Arabidopsis thaliana: one gene and its partner. The protein of the gene in region 2 interacts with the protein of the main gene of each other region in a pairwise test. Each region holds a gene or a part of one and is shown on either strand. Other genes may lie near its edges.

Region 1 (4,909 bases), on a different chromosome or scaffold from region 2:
TTTATTGTGTATGATACTATGATCAATACTAATATCAACTTCTGTTTGTCTGCCGTTAAGGTCAGCAAGGAACGCGTTGAATCAGTACCCACGTTTCTCACTGGACGGTAAGGACGCTATGTACCGGTCATCCTTCCGGCGCCATCTTGGCACCAGTGCTGACATGACGATACAGGGTGGGCGGAGATCCCACTGCGGGGATCAACGGACATCAAAGAGATCGAGCCAGATGAGCTTGGAGACAAAACGCCTGCCACGGACAGTGGCCGGAGAGAGTGTGGTATGGTGCAAGACGGGGGTTGTTGCAAAGCTGATGGGTCTGGAGATGATACCTGTTCCGGACAAGGGAAAATCGGGAAAAGATAAGTTAGGGACTCTGCTCAAGAGGGAGCGTCTAAGGAGGAGAGAACGGACTCTGGACGTTAATGGTCGGACCGGTCCGACGACTGAAGCTTCTTGCTCGTCTGGAGGGTTTAACATTACTAGACCAATCGGAGCAGTTGGGTCGCCTAGTCGCATGGGTGGATGGCCCACAGCCCGTCTCCCATAGACTTACGATGCAAAACTAGCCCATTAAAAACCTTCATGTTATCTATAAATTTTCATTACTGATTGATTCAGTAACTTTCTATGTTTCTCATAAATCTTCTAGACTACATAATTAAGGATTTCCAAACCAAGCACACACATTTTTGTGACTCAATTAATTCTCTCTGAGCGAGAAATCTTAGGAAGCAGGCAAAAACACAGTATACAAGTTCTGTCTCAAGCTCAGATTTTGGTTTCAGACAGAGTTGGATGTTCGATGGACGAGAGTACACTGCGATTCAATTGGAAAATACCTAACAAACTTTGGTTGCGAAAACCCAAGAAATTGTGGATTTGTGTTGGATATATCAGACGGAAACTCCTAGGTCCGACATACCCATGATCCTTTTGTTCAATGCAATCCTCTTCTGTCTCAAAAGCGAAGTCATGGAAGCCACCTAATGATTTACGACAAAAGAATTTAATGAGACGTTCATAGCAATGAAGCTCAAACAATGGGCGAGAAGAAAAAAGTCAGACTCACTTCAGCTCTAAGCTTGATAGCATCCCTTCCAGGAATTTGCCGAAGTCCGTCCATCAAATCTGCAGCGAATAGAACTCTTTGTGTAAGTTGAAATCTGACGTAGTGGCATTATCAAAGATACCATTTGAAGGGAGAAGGGAGAAGTGAGTAAAAATAAATCTTGTTCAAGATTACCAGCAGCTTCACATTCAGCTTTGTGGACGGACTTAGCAAGACGATGTATATCGTTTCCAGAGTTCCTATAGATATAACAGTAGTACCCATATTAACATAAATGATGTCAATAACTTAATAAAAGAAGTGGGAGCGTCCATGTTGGGGCATACATGAGCTCAGAGAGACCACGTTTCATATCCTTCTCTGCTAAAGCCGTCCTCTCAAGCAATTTCCTGCTCTCCTTTTTCATCAAGTCTACAGACATGTTTAACTCCTGAACATGCTTCTCAGCTTTCAAGAATTGTGCCTGAAGCGACGATGATTTTGAAGTGGATGTAAAAATAAGGGAAGGGACACAGACCAGGGCAACTAAGCATAACAACGTTAAGAAATAAATTTGAAGCTGGTATAGTATATACCTCTTCGCTCTGAAATCGGCCTAGTGTATTACGAAACAAGAATCTTCTTGGGCCTGTAAGTCGAACAATAGAAAACCAAATTCATACAAGACACATATAAGTAAAACAGATGTAATACCATTTGGATGCTCCTACGGGAAGGAATCTTGTAAGTTGTAAAAGTGATAAGAGAGTAGAGGTTATACCTCGCATCAGAACGAGACTAGCAGCGACACCAATCCCAATAGCAGCAGCCGGATGCTCTTTTGCGTATATCAATTCGTCTGCGAGGATAACAAAAGCAGCAGAGGATACGAGGATTGATTAATCGGAATGACATGAAGATTCTAGTTTCAGAACACTATAAGATGCACTACAAGTATATATAAAAGTTTTGTGGCAGCTATCTGTTATATCTCAGTTTGATCTAAAATACTCGTTCCTAAGCATTACAGTAGTCTACCAGTATAACTTTTTCACGAAAATTGGCTGCAAGATACCTGTAACTTTACTGAAGAAAGCATTCTCATAGGTCTTATACTGAGTCAAAGCATGTGGAATGAAATCCTGCAATTTCAGAATCAAATGTAAGATTGTATGAGAGAAGACGAAGACATATACATACATCTAATGGAACTGTGATTTCAGCCAGATAGGGTCTACTCCATATCACACATCATTAAGCTACATGAATATCTGATATCATATAAAAACATTGTTTAGAGAATAATCAAGAATGCCTCAGCGATACATTACAGTCTTCTAAACAACCATTTGAAGCAGAATCAGAACCCAGGAAGAGACTAAGATCATTGCCAATAAGTTATAATGGTATGATTCAACAAGATTTTACCCATATGAACAAAAACTAGCACCATTCAATACATAAAACTGCTAATTGGAGAAATATCTGTTCTGAATCGAGCTCATTTCTAGAAATTATAGCTTACGAGATACTAAATTCCACCATATCCATGGTTTGAAATCCTGAAAATGTTTTTTGGTAAACAATCTCGATTCGCAAAAATTGTTTGGTGAACAAAAGAGAGATTAACTAACCTGTATAGAGCGGAACTGAGAGGTAGAATTTTCACGGAGGGAACGAGCAGAACGCATTGCGGTATCCTTCGATTCCTTCACCGTCCGTTGCAAATCACCCACCCATTTCTCTGCTCCTTCTATGGCTCCTTCCACCGATTCAACCACTCCGATCGCTGTATGCTCCATCGCATCAGAAACAGTTTCAGTCTCAATCGCTGGAGCCGAATCATCGGTAACGCCGGTTGCTTCGGTTTCGCTCATCGTCTCCGATTTGCCTTTCTCGCACGGAGACAACGCCTTTTCTCCTTCTTTCAACTTCAACCGGTTCGATTCGGTTCAATTTGATTCCAAATTAGAAGTTGGTTTTAAATGGTTAAGATAGACCCGGCTCCTTTATATATCAGTTTGCGGTTAATGGGCTTTAAGATTGGGTCTGCGAACTATACATTACATTCCCTTTTCTTCGTCTTCATCTTCGTCTTCCTTTCCTCCTTCATTCCTCTTTTCTTCGTCTCCCACCATTTCTGCAGAAGAAGACAAATAAAAAAGCTCTCATTTATCTTCGTGGAGATCTAAAAGAAGGAGGAAGACATTTCTTCCCTCTGGATCTCCAAAAGTAAGAACATTTACAAGGTTTGTTTTTGTATTTGTTTTGTTTTAATTACTCCATGAGAATTGAGAGTTTTCTTTTCATGGATTAGCCCTGATTTCTATTGTTATCTCTTTATAGAGGCAAATTTTGGTTGATCTGTTTATTCGCATTTGCATAGAAAGCTTGCGTTTTGTTGTCTGAAACTTGAGCTAATGATGTTGGTGAAGATGATATTATCCTCTTTTTAGTGAAACTTTTGGGAATACCATTCTCTTTATTTAGATCTGATGAAACAAAGGTCGAAACTTTATAGGTTTGCTTCTTCATGTTTTTTTTTTTGTTGTTCTTCTGGTTGTTTCAGAAACGAGAGGTTTGGGTGGGGAAGGAAAGAAGGAGGAAGAGGCAATGTCAGCTAGGTATTGGTGTCACATGTGTTCACAAATGGTGAATCCAGTTATTGGTGCCGAGATCAAATGCCCCTTTTGCCAAAGCGGGTTTGTCGAGGAAATGAGCCGTGAGATTAATGGCGGCAGCAGTAGCAGTCTAAGGGAGGTTCAAGACCCTGAGATTGATTTTGGTACAGACCGTGCATTGTCTCTATGGGGTCCAATCTTGCTTGGAATGATGAGTAATCCTCGTAGACGTAGAAGGTTTAGGAGGACAGAGTTTGGTGTGGATAATGATGAGGTCAATGTATCTGATGATGTTGATGGAAATGACAGCGTCGATATTGATCGACATCATCATCGTCGTCATCGCCACAGGCAACAAGGTAGAGAGATTGATTTAGACAGAGAGTTTGAGTCTATCCTTAGGAGGAGACGGAGAAGCTCAGCTACTATATTGCAGTTGCTTCAGGGTATTCGTGCAGGGATTGCTTCTGAGTATGAGAGCTCGGATCGAGACCTGTTAAATCAATCAGCTGTTGTTCAGGGTTCAACGAGTTTGAATCAAAACCGGAACAATACTTCTCTTTCTGCAATTGGAGATTACTTTGTTGGATCCAGTTTAGACCATTTGCTTGAACATCTAGCTGATAATGATTCAATCAGGCACGGGAGTCTTCCAGCACGTAAAGAAGTTGTGGATAATCTCCCAACGGTTAAGATAAGTGAATCATTGCAGTGCTCGATTTGTTTGGATGATTTTGACAAAGGAAGTGAAGCTAAAGAGATGCCGTGTAAGCACAAGTTTCACATCCGGTGTATAGTACCGTGGCTCGAGCTTCACAGTTCATGTCCCGTGTGCCGATATGAACTCCCTCCTGATGATGAGACCAAGGTTAATCCTGTAAGACCGAGAACAAGAACTCTAGAGATCAACGTAAGTAATGAGAATGTGGAAGATGATGCAAGGAACAGTAATGTGAGCGAGAGAAGGTTCTCTTTTCCATGGCCGTTCAGCGGATTATTCTCTTCATCCTCTTCGTCATCCGCATCGGCCTCGGGGTCATCTCATCTCGGTGAGAACTCGTAAACTGCTATTCCTCAGCTTATAGTACATAAAATCTTGTTCACTCAGATTGTTGAATACTGCATAACAAATAAACACTTTCGAGGAATGGAATCTTTTCTTTATTTGTATTATAATATCTGATGATCATTTGGGTTTCCGTTAAAAGTATCCCTTTTAATTTAGTAAAATATAAAA
Region 2 (5,706 bases):
AAAAAATTACTAATTCTTCCATCAAAAAAAAAAAAAAAAAAGGATCCTTAATGTAAGCTTTTCTGGATATTATAGCTACTTTATATTCAATCAACCAAACTCTACTTGCCAAAAAAAAAGAAAAGGAATCTCTACTTGACACATGTTTTTGTGAAACTCAACATTGTTTTTTACCATTAGATTACCATATATTTGACTGAACCATAAGATTATTTATAAGTTACGAAACTCAAACATTTTTTTTTTCATTCGATCTCTTTCTTCGTAACAAAGTTCCACCTACAAATGAATAAAATTTTGAACATCCTCACTTTCTTGTTTCTTCGGCATGTGATGCAGATACACCAAGAGCCCGTCATGCATGTCGTATATCCGAAAAACAAAGCATGTCCCGATGGGTGTCAATAGACATGCAACGTAGCATTTACGATTGGTTGTAAATGTATTATGTTAAATTTTTCTCTTATATATGTTAATATGTATATGTCTAATATATATAATATATATCCCTTTGGTGCTAATGATCGAATCTATGACCATAGTATATCAAATCGAGAAGATGTACAGATCGTGAAATTTTATATCTCATAACAACACGAATCATGATTATGACTTTTGTATGGGTAAAAATTCGATGTTTTGGTATAGTTTGTGTATTTATATTATAAAATATAATATAGAAAAATAAAAGAAAAAATAGGAAATCCACAATTTTCCGGTTTAGTAAAGCGCTTGCACAAATAAAAACCGGTATTGGCATTTCAGTATTCGTCCAAGAAAGTGTAGAGAGTGTCATCTTTCTTGGTTTTGCGTCGACTAAGCAAAGCCTTGAGCAATCGTTTGCTCTTGCTCGGTTGTTGCTGCTCTGTTTCTTTCTGGTTATCTTTCTCGAATGCGACTCGGACCGAAGCCGATCTTCTTGGTTCTGATGGATACTGGAAAATGCAAAAGAAGAAGAATCAAGAAGAGGTAAATTGATGAAACACATTTTCTGGTGGAGTTTTGTTCCAATGGAAGCTTTTTATACCCGTATAGGAGTTATAGATCTGCTCTTGCTTGGTGTCGTTGGTCGGCTGATTGATGCTGACTTCCTGGTAGCGACTGATCCAGATCTTAGTAGTGGAAACCGATGCGGTGAAACTGATCTCTTATCTGATTATATCACACGAAAACATGTATAAAGGATCGAGTATCGAGCGGAAAAAAACCAAGCGATTGTGGTGTTTACCTTGTTCTTTCTTTGGAATGGTAGAGGTAAACGAAAAGGTTGCTGATCGTTGAGGTGGTTGCCGTGGAGATGAACTCTGAGATGTTGATTTTCTGCAAAGACAATCAGGTCTCATTGTTTTGTTCTTGTGTTTGAAAATGTGTGTTGTGTTATTTCTTGAGCAAGCGTTTGGATAATTTACCTAACAGGTGGTGGAGGCGTTTCCCGGATTGTAGCACGAACAGCTATAAAAGAGCAAACCAATCAGTTAGTAAGAAATCTTGAATCTTGGATTGTGTACAACAGAAACATAGAAGATACAAACTCACCATTTCGGAATTGGTTCCAATCATCTGCATCCTCTAAACTGCTTCCAAAGTACTTAAGCTTTTCAAGATTTGTAGCAGTCATAATTTCACCCGCTGATAAAGATTGCATCTTAGTGAGTATCGAAAATTTCTAACCCGAGTGCGAGAAAGAGAGAATTTACCGGGTAAGATGTATCGTTTATGGAACTTTGGAGTGTCAATAACAAGTGATTGCTGTGAACGCCCTTCATGATCCATATACTCTTGGCACATTCTTAGCCTCTAACCACCATCCCATTGTTATTTTTCCCAACATAAACACAAAATTACAACTTAGTAACCCCAAAAAGAAACCTTCACGGATAAATACAAGTTTTTAGGAGCTTTTTTATACCTGTTCGATGCAAGATACTCGCAGCTCGGTCTCTGATACTTCATCGACTTTTTCATCGATAAAGTCATTCACTTTATATGTAACAGAGCCTAAATGGTCAACTGTATTCACCAGAGCCTTCACAGCGTAGTCTTTCAGTGTCTCTACAACACTGCACTTAACATGAGAAACAACTACTGAGAAAAACCAAGAAATTTTTTGTGACACAATAAATCTGAAGCGCTGCTTAATACTAACTCACATCTGCTTTTTATCATCGGTTGTGTAAGATAGTTCGAAATACTCGGCTGCTGAATACAACTGCGCTCGCAGATTCTTCAAGTCCTGAGGAAATAAAAGAGCAGAAAACCTTTCAATTAATTGTCAAATAAACCTACAAAGATTTTAGAAAACAAGATATGATTCAGCATTGTAACAACACTTGGATCTTCAATCACAGAGACCATTAATTATCATTTTACTTTTGTCATCGGTTTCACATATAGAAAGATAGTATGTGCTTGGTATTATAGCATTGTCCTTCTAAGTCAGATGGAGATTTGAACAATTTATCAGAAACTAGGCAATATTTTGCAAATTCAGAATCTACCTGAAGACCATCAGAGAAGAGCATACTTTGCTGCATAGAAACCTCATCGTAATTTGAAGCTTCATGTGACGCAGGCATTGTAGCCACTGCAGTCTTCTATTTTTTCAACAGAGAGGAAGATAAACCTCAGTCTTCTTCAAAGCTGTTTCATTCAAGATTTTCCAAGAACACTTGTATATCACTAGTTGTTTTTATTACATATGAACAAAGAAAATGAACAAGGCTTTTACTTTGCTCCATAACTAATCCAATAAGAAGAAACAAACAAACAAGTAGAATCCACAGCTCTCTAAAGTAACCACAGATTTTCTAATCTTTTATTAGTACTCTATTAAAAATTAACAAACAATTCCCAGGGAGAAAGAAAACTGTGTACCAATAGCTGAGACAATATTTTATAATGTACAATGAATTCATCAAGAACAATAAAACACATATGAAACAAGAAAGCAAAACCCAGTCCTGAGGAAACAAAATTGTACCCTAAAACCCTCAAGAACACTAAAAAAAAAAAAGCTTTTAACTTGCTAAATCGAGAGAGGAGAAGTAGTAAAACCAATTCAAAATCACAAGTTAAATCCTAAACAAATTGATGTGTTTAAAAGAAGATAATGAAACCAGTGGACCAAAAGTTTCGACCTTTAAGTGAAATTTAAGATAATGAGAGTGGAAGGAAACCTGTGGAACTGTGATTATTCAATCCAAAACTCTCTCTATTGTTCCTTTAATGGGTGTTTCTGCTCCAAGGAGAGATCCAATTTGTCTGAGAAAAATGAAGATTTTGAAGACAGTTACAGTTCAAATTTGGATAGAGAGAGACAAAGAGAGGAATGTCTATTGATTTAGTTGAGATTTGAAGGAAGGAAGGAAGTGAGTGATGATGATGGTCTTGTCTCGTTGAGTGTTGTTGGTATAGAGACTAGAGAGACAAGTCGAAGAAACAACCTCAGACTTAACCCACTTTGTCCCATCGTTTGCGGAGACAAACGAAACGCGCTCTCTTGCAGAAAAATCGGTAAGCAAATAACCGAATGAACCGAACCGTAAAAACAAAACCGCATCCGAACCGAACTTTTTAAAATAACCGAATAGTTAGTAAAATGATATTGAATCAAATGAAAAAGTTTTATCGATCAATCACATTCCCAAGTCATGGCTTTGTGGATAGTTAAAACTTAAAAGAAACAAGATATTGAATCAAATGCATTAGGTAGTTCGATTGCAATTAAGATGATATCTTGTACTAAGCATTTTGGTTCATTTTAGTGGATTTTAAGTTTGGAGTGATTTTTTTTTTTTTTGGTAGGCGAGTTTGGAGTGTTTTGACTTTTGAGTGGACTCTTAGATTTTTTTTAATAAAGTAGGCATAATAGTGTTTTTTTTTTTAACTAACAAGCTTACGATCGTGTGGTCTGTAACATGAGTATATCTAGGATAACAATTTCATTACATTTTTAACAAAATAACTTTTGAGACAAAAGATAAAAATTGAAAAAACATGCAATGATTAAGGGACGCACGTCTTTGGATAACCATGTAGTTCTTTATTACTTTTTAAAATAGTAACTATAGTTCCATGATTATAAATCATGTTTTTTTTTGAATGAATTTAAAATTTATTCAACCAAAAAACCTTTGTACAATGAATGCAACCTTATTTTAAATGTTATTTTGAGAAAAGATTTGTAAAGAGATTGAAACAACTAGTTCCTAGAGGCGAACCATAACCGAAGTCCATCCTCGTATTTGTGTGGATCCCGACGACGGACTGAAGATAATTTGTTGCGTATCATATATCAAGAAACTTGATTAGTTGAGCTGCAGGTGTTGGGGACTCGCCGTGTCTTTATAAATCATGTTTGTCATGCTCATTATCACTGACAAATTTTGAGTAGTTACTATGGTGGAGCGGTCGTCATTTTGTGAAAATTTATATCATCAGTTATTTCCTATCACCAAACAAACTTTTTGGTGCAACCAATTAAACATGCAATTCATTTTCTTTCAATTGCATCTTTTTTAGTTTAGTCATTTAATACAAAAGTTATGAGTCCCATGTTTAATTCGCTATTTTAGTATTTTGGTTAGCAGTCGGATTTTTCTTCAAATTCTTGCATGTGTGAAACATTTTTTAAAAACTAAAAAGTATTATTTTTCAATAATACTACGGTTTAATAATACTAATTTTTAAAAACTTCTAAAGCGAAGAAAAATTGCAAATAAATATTCACAACTTTTAATTTTTTTGGTAAATTTATTCTCCACCTGCAAAGGCTGCAATATAAGACTCAACTTTAACAGACTATATAACATCATATATATTATAAAACAACGTCGTTTTGGTTAAAATTTGTTATAAAAACATCGTGTGAGTCGAACTTTTGGTCTTGTCGAAAGTCCAAAGATACATTATGCGCTTCTCTAAGAGTAGGCAACATAGGCATTTTTTTTTAAAAAATTTAATGTTAAATTATATTCAAAGAAAAATAAACTGTTTATACATATAAATGCAAACTTTTTTAAAAAAAATAGATCAAATGTGTATCTTATCTATCCTTGATTTTGATCTTGCCTTGAAGCAAACCACACTTGGATTCCTCTTGGGTACTTCTCTTCACCTCTCACCCTTAGCGTGCTTAATCGATTCCTTATGTTTTTGTCGATTAGCCTGATTATCTTCTCCGTCCTCGATGGCGCGTCTCTCCATGTCTTCTCTCATTTCTCTCTCTCCATATAGAATGTATCGTGTTTTGAAACACATACCGAAGCACAATCCTTGTAGTGGCGTCAAGATCTTTACTCACTAACTCCTTCATGATATCTAGCCAATTGTCCGTATATTTGCTAGCTAGTAGTCTTCCCGCCAGTTCACTCCACACCGTTCTCGAATAAGGGCATTGGAAAAATAAATGTTCTCTTGTCTCCAAAGGATAGTTGCAGAGAAGACAGCTAGTACCCACGTTTTTGTTCCATTTCAGCATTCTCTCCCTGTTGCAATTCTATTCTTCACCACCAACCAAGTGACAAACGCATACTTCGGAGTTGCATCCGAGAACCATATCGCTTTGTAGTCCTGCATCTCTGGCCTTGTTGAACGAATCTGCAGCCACGTCTCCTTGGATACAAAATTCTTTCTGTAGCAGTCATTTTTCCTCTCCATAGTGGTATATCATGTTCTGTTTCTCGCCTATTTGTTCGCAGGTTTTGC

Evidence for each region.
Region 1: the proteins of ABIL2 (region 2) and AT4G26410 interact in a two-hybrid assay, tested with the Arabidopsis thaliana proteins (one large-scale study listed by BioGRID).

The regions. Positions count from the first base shown.
Region 1 is NC_003075.7:13,344,779-13,349,687, reverse strand, and holds AT4G26410 (chromosome-associated kinesin), read right to left. Parts: upstream 3,035-4,909; 5' UTR 2,929-3,034; coding exon 2,686-2,928; intron 2,194-2,685; coding exon 2,127-2,193; intron 1,911-2,126; coding exon 1,833-1,910; intron 1,701-1,832; coding exon 1,648-1,700; intron 1,536-1,647; coding exon 1,399-1,535; intron 1,312-1,398; coding exon 1,247-1,311; intron 1,132-1,246; coding exon 1,073-1,131; intron 987-1,072; coding exon 897-986; 3' UTR 551-896; downstream 1-550. Other genes in the region: AT4G26415 (uncharacterized protein), read left to right, coding at 61-550; AT4G26400 (RING/U-box superfamily protein), read left to right, coding at 3,665-4,735.
Region 2 is NC_003074.8:18,270,277-18,275,982, reverse strand, and holds ABIL2 (ABL interactor-like protein 2), read right to left. Parts: upstream 3,701-5,706; 5' UTR 3,177-3,700; intron 2,641-3,176; 5' UTR 2,577-2,640; coding exon 2,499-2,576; intron 2,234-2,498; coding exon 2,151-2,233; intron 2,061-2,150; coding exon 1,910-2,060; intron 1,798-1,909; coding exon 1,698-1,797; intron 1,630-1,697; coding exon 1,537-1,629; intron 1,453-1,536; coding exon 1,410-1,452; intron 1,321-1,409; coding exon 1,229-1,320; intron 1,153-1,228; coding exon 1,028-1,152; intron 936-1,027; coding exon 762-935; 3' UTR 541-761; downstream 1-540. UniProt on the Arabidopsis thaliana protein: Involved in regulation of actin and microtubule organization. Part of a WAVE complex that activates the Arp2/3 complex.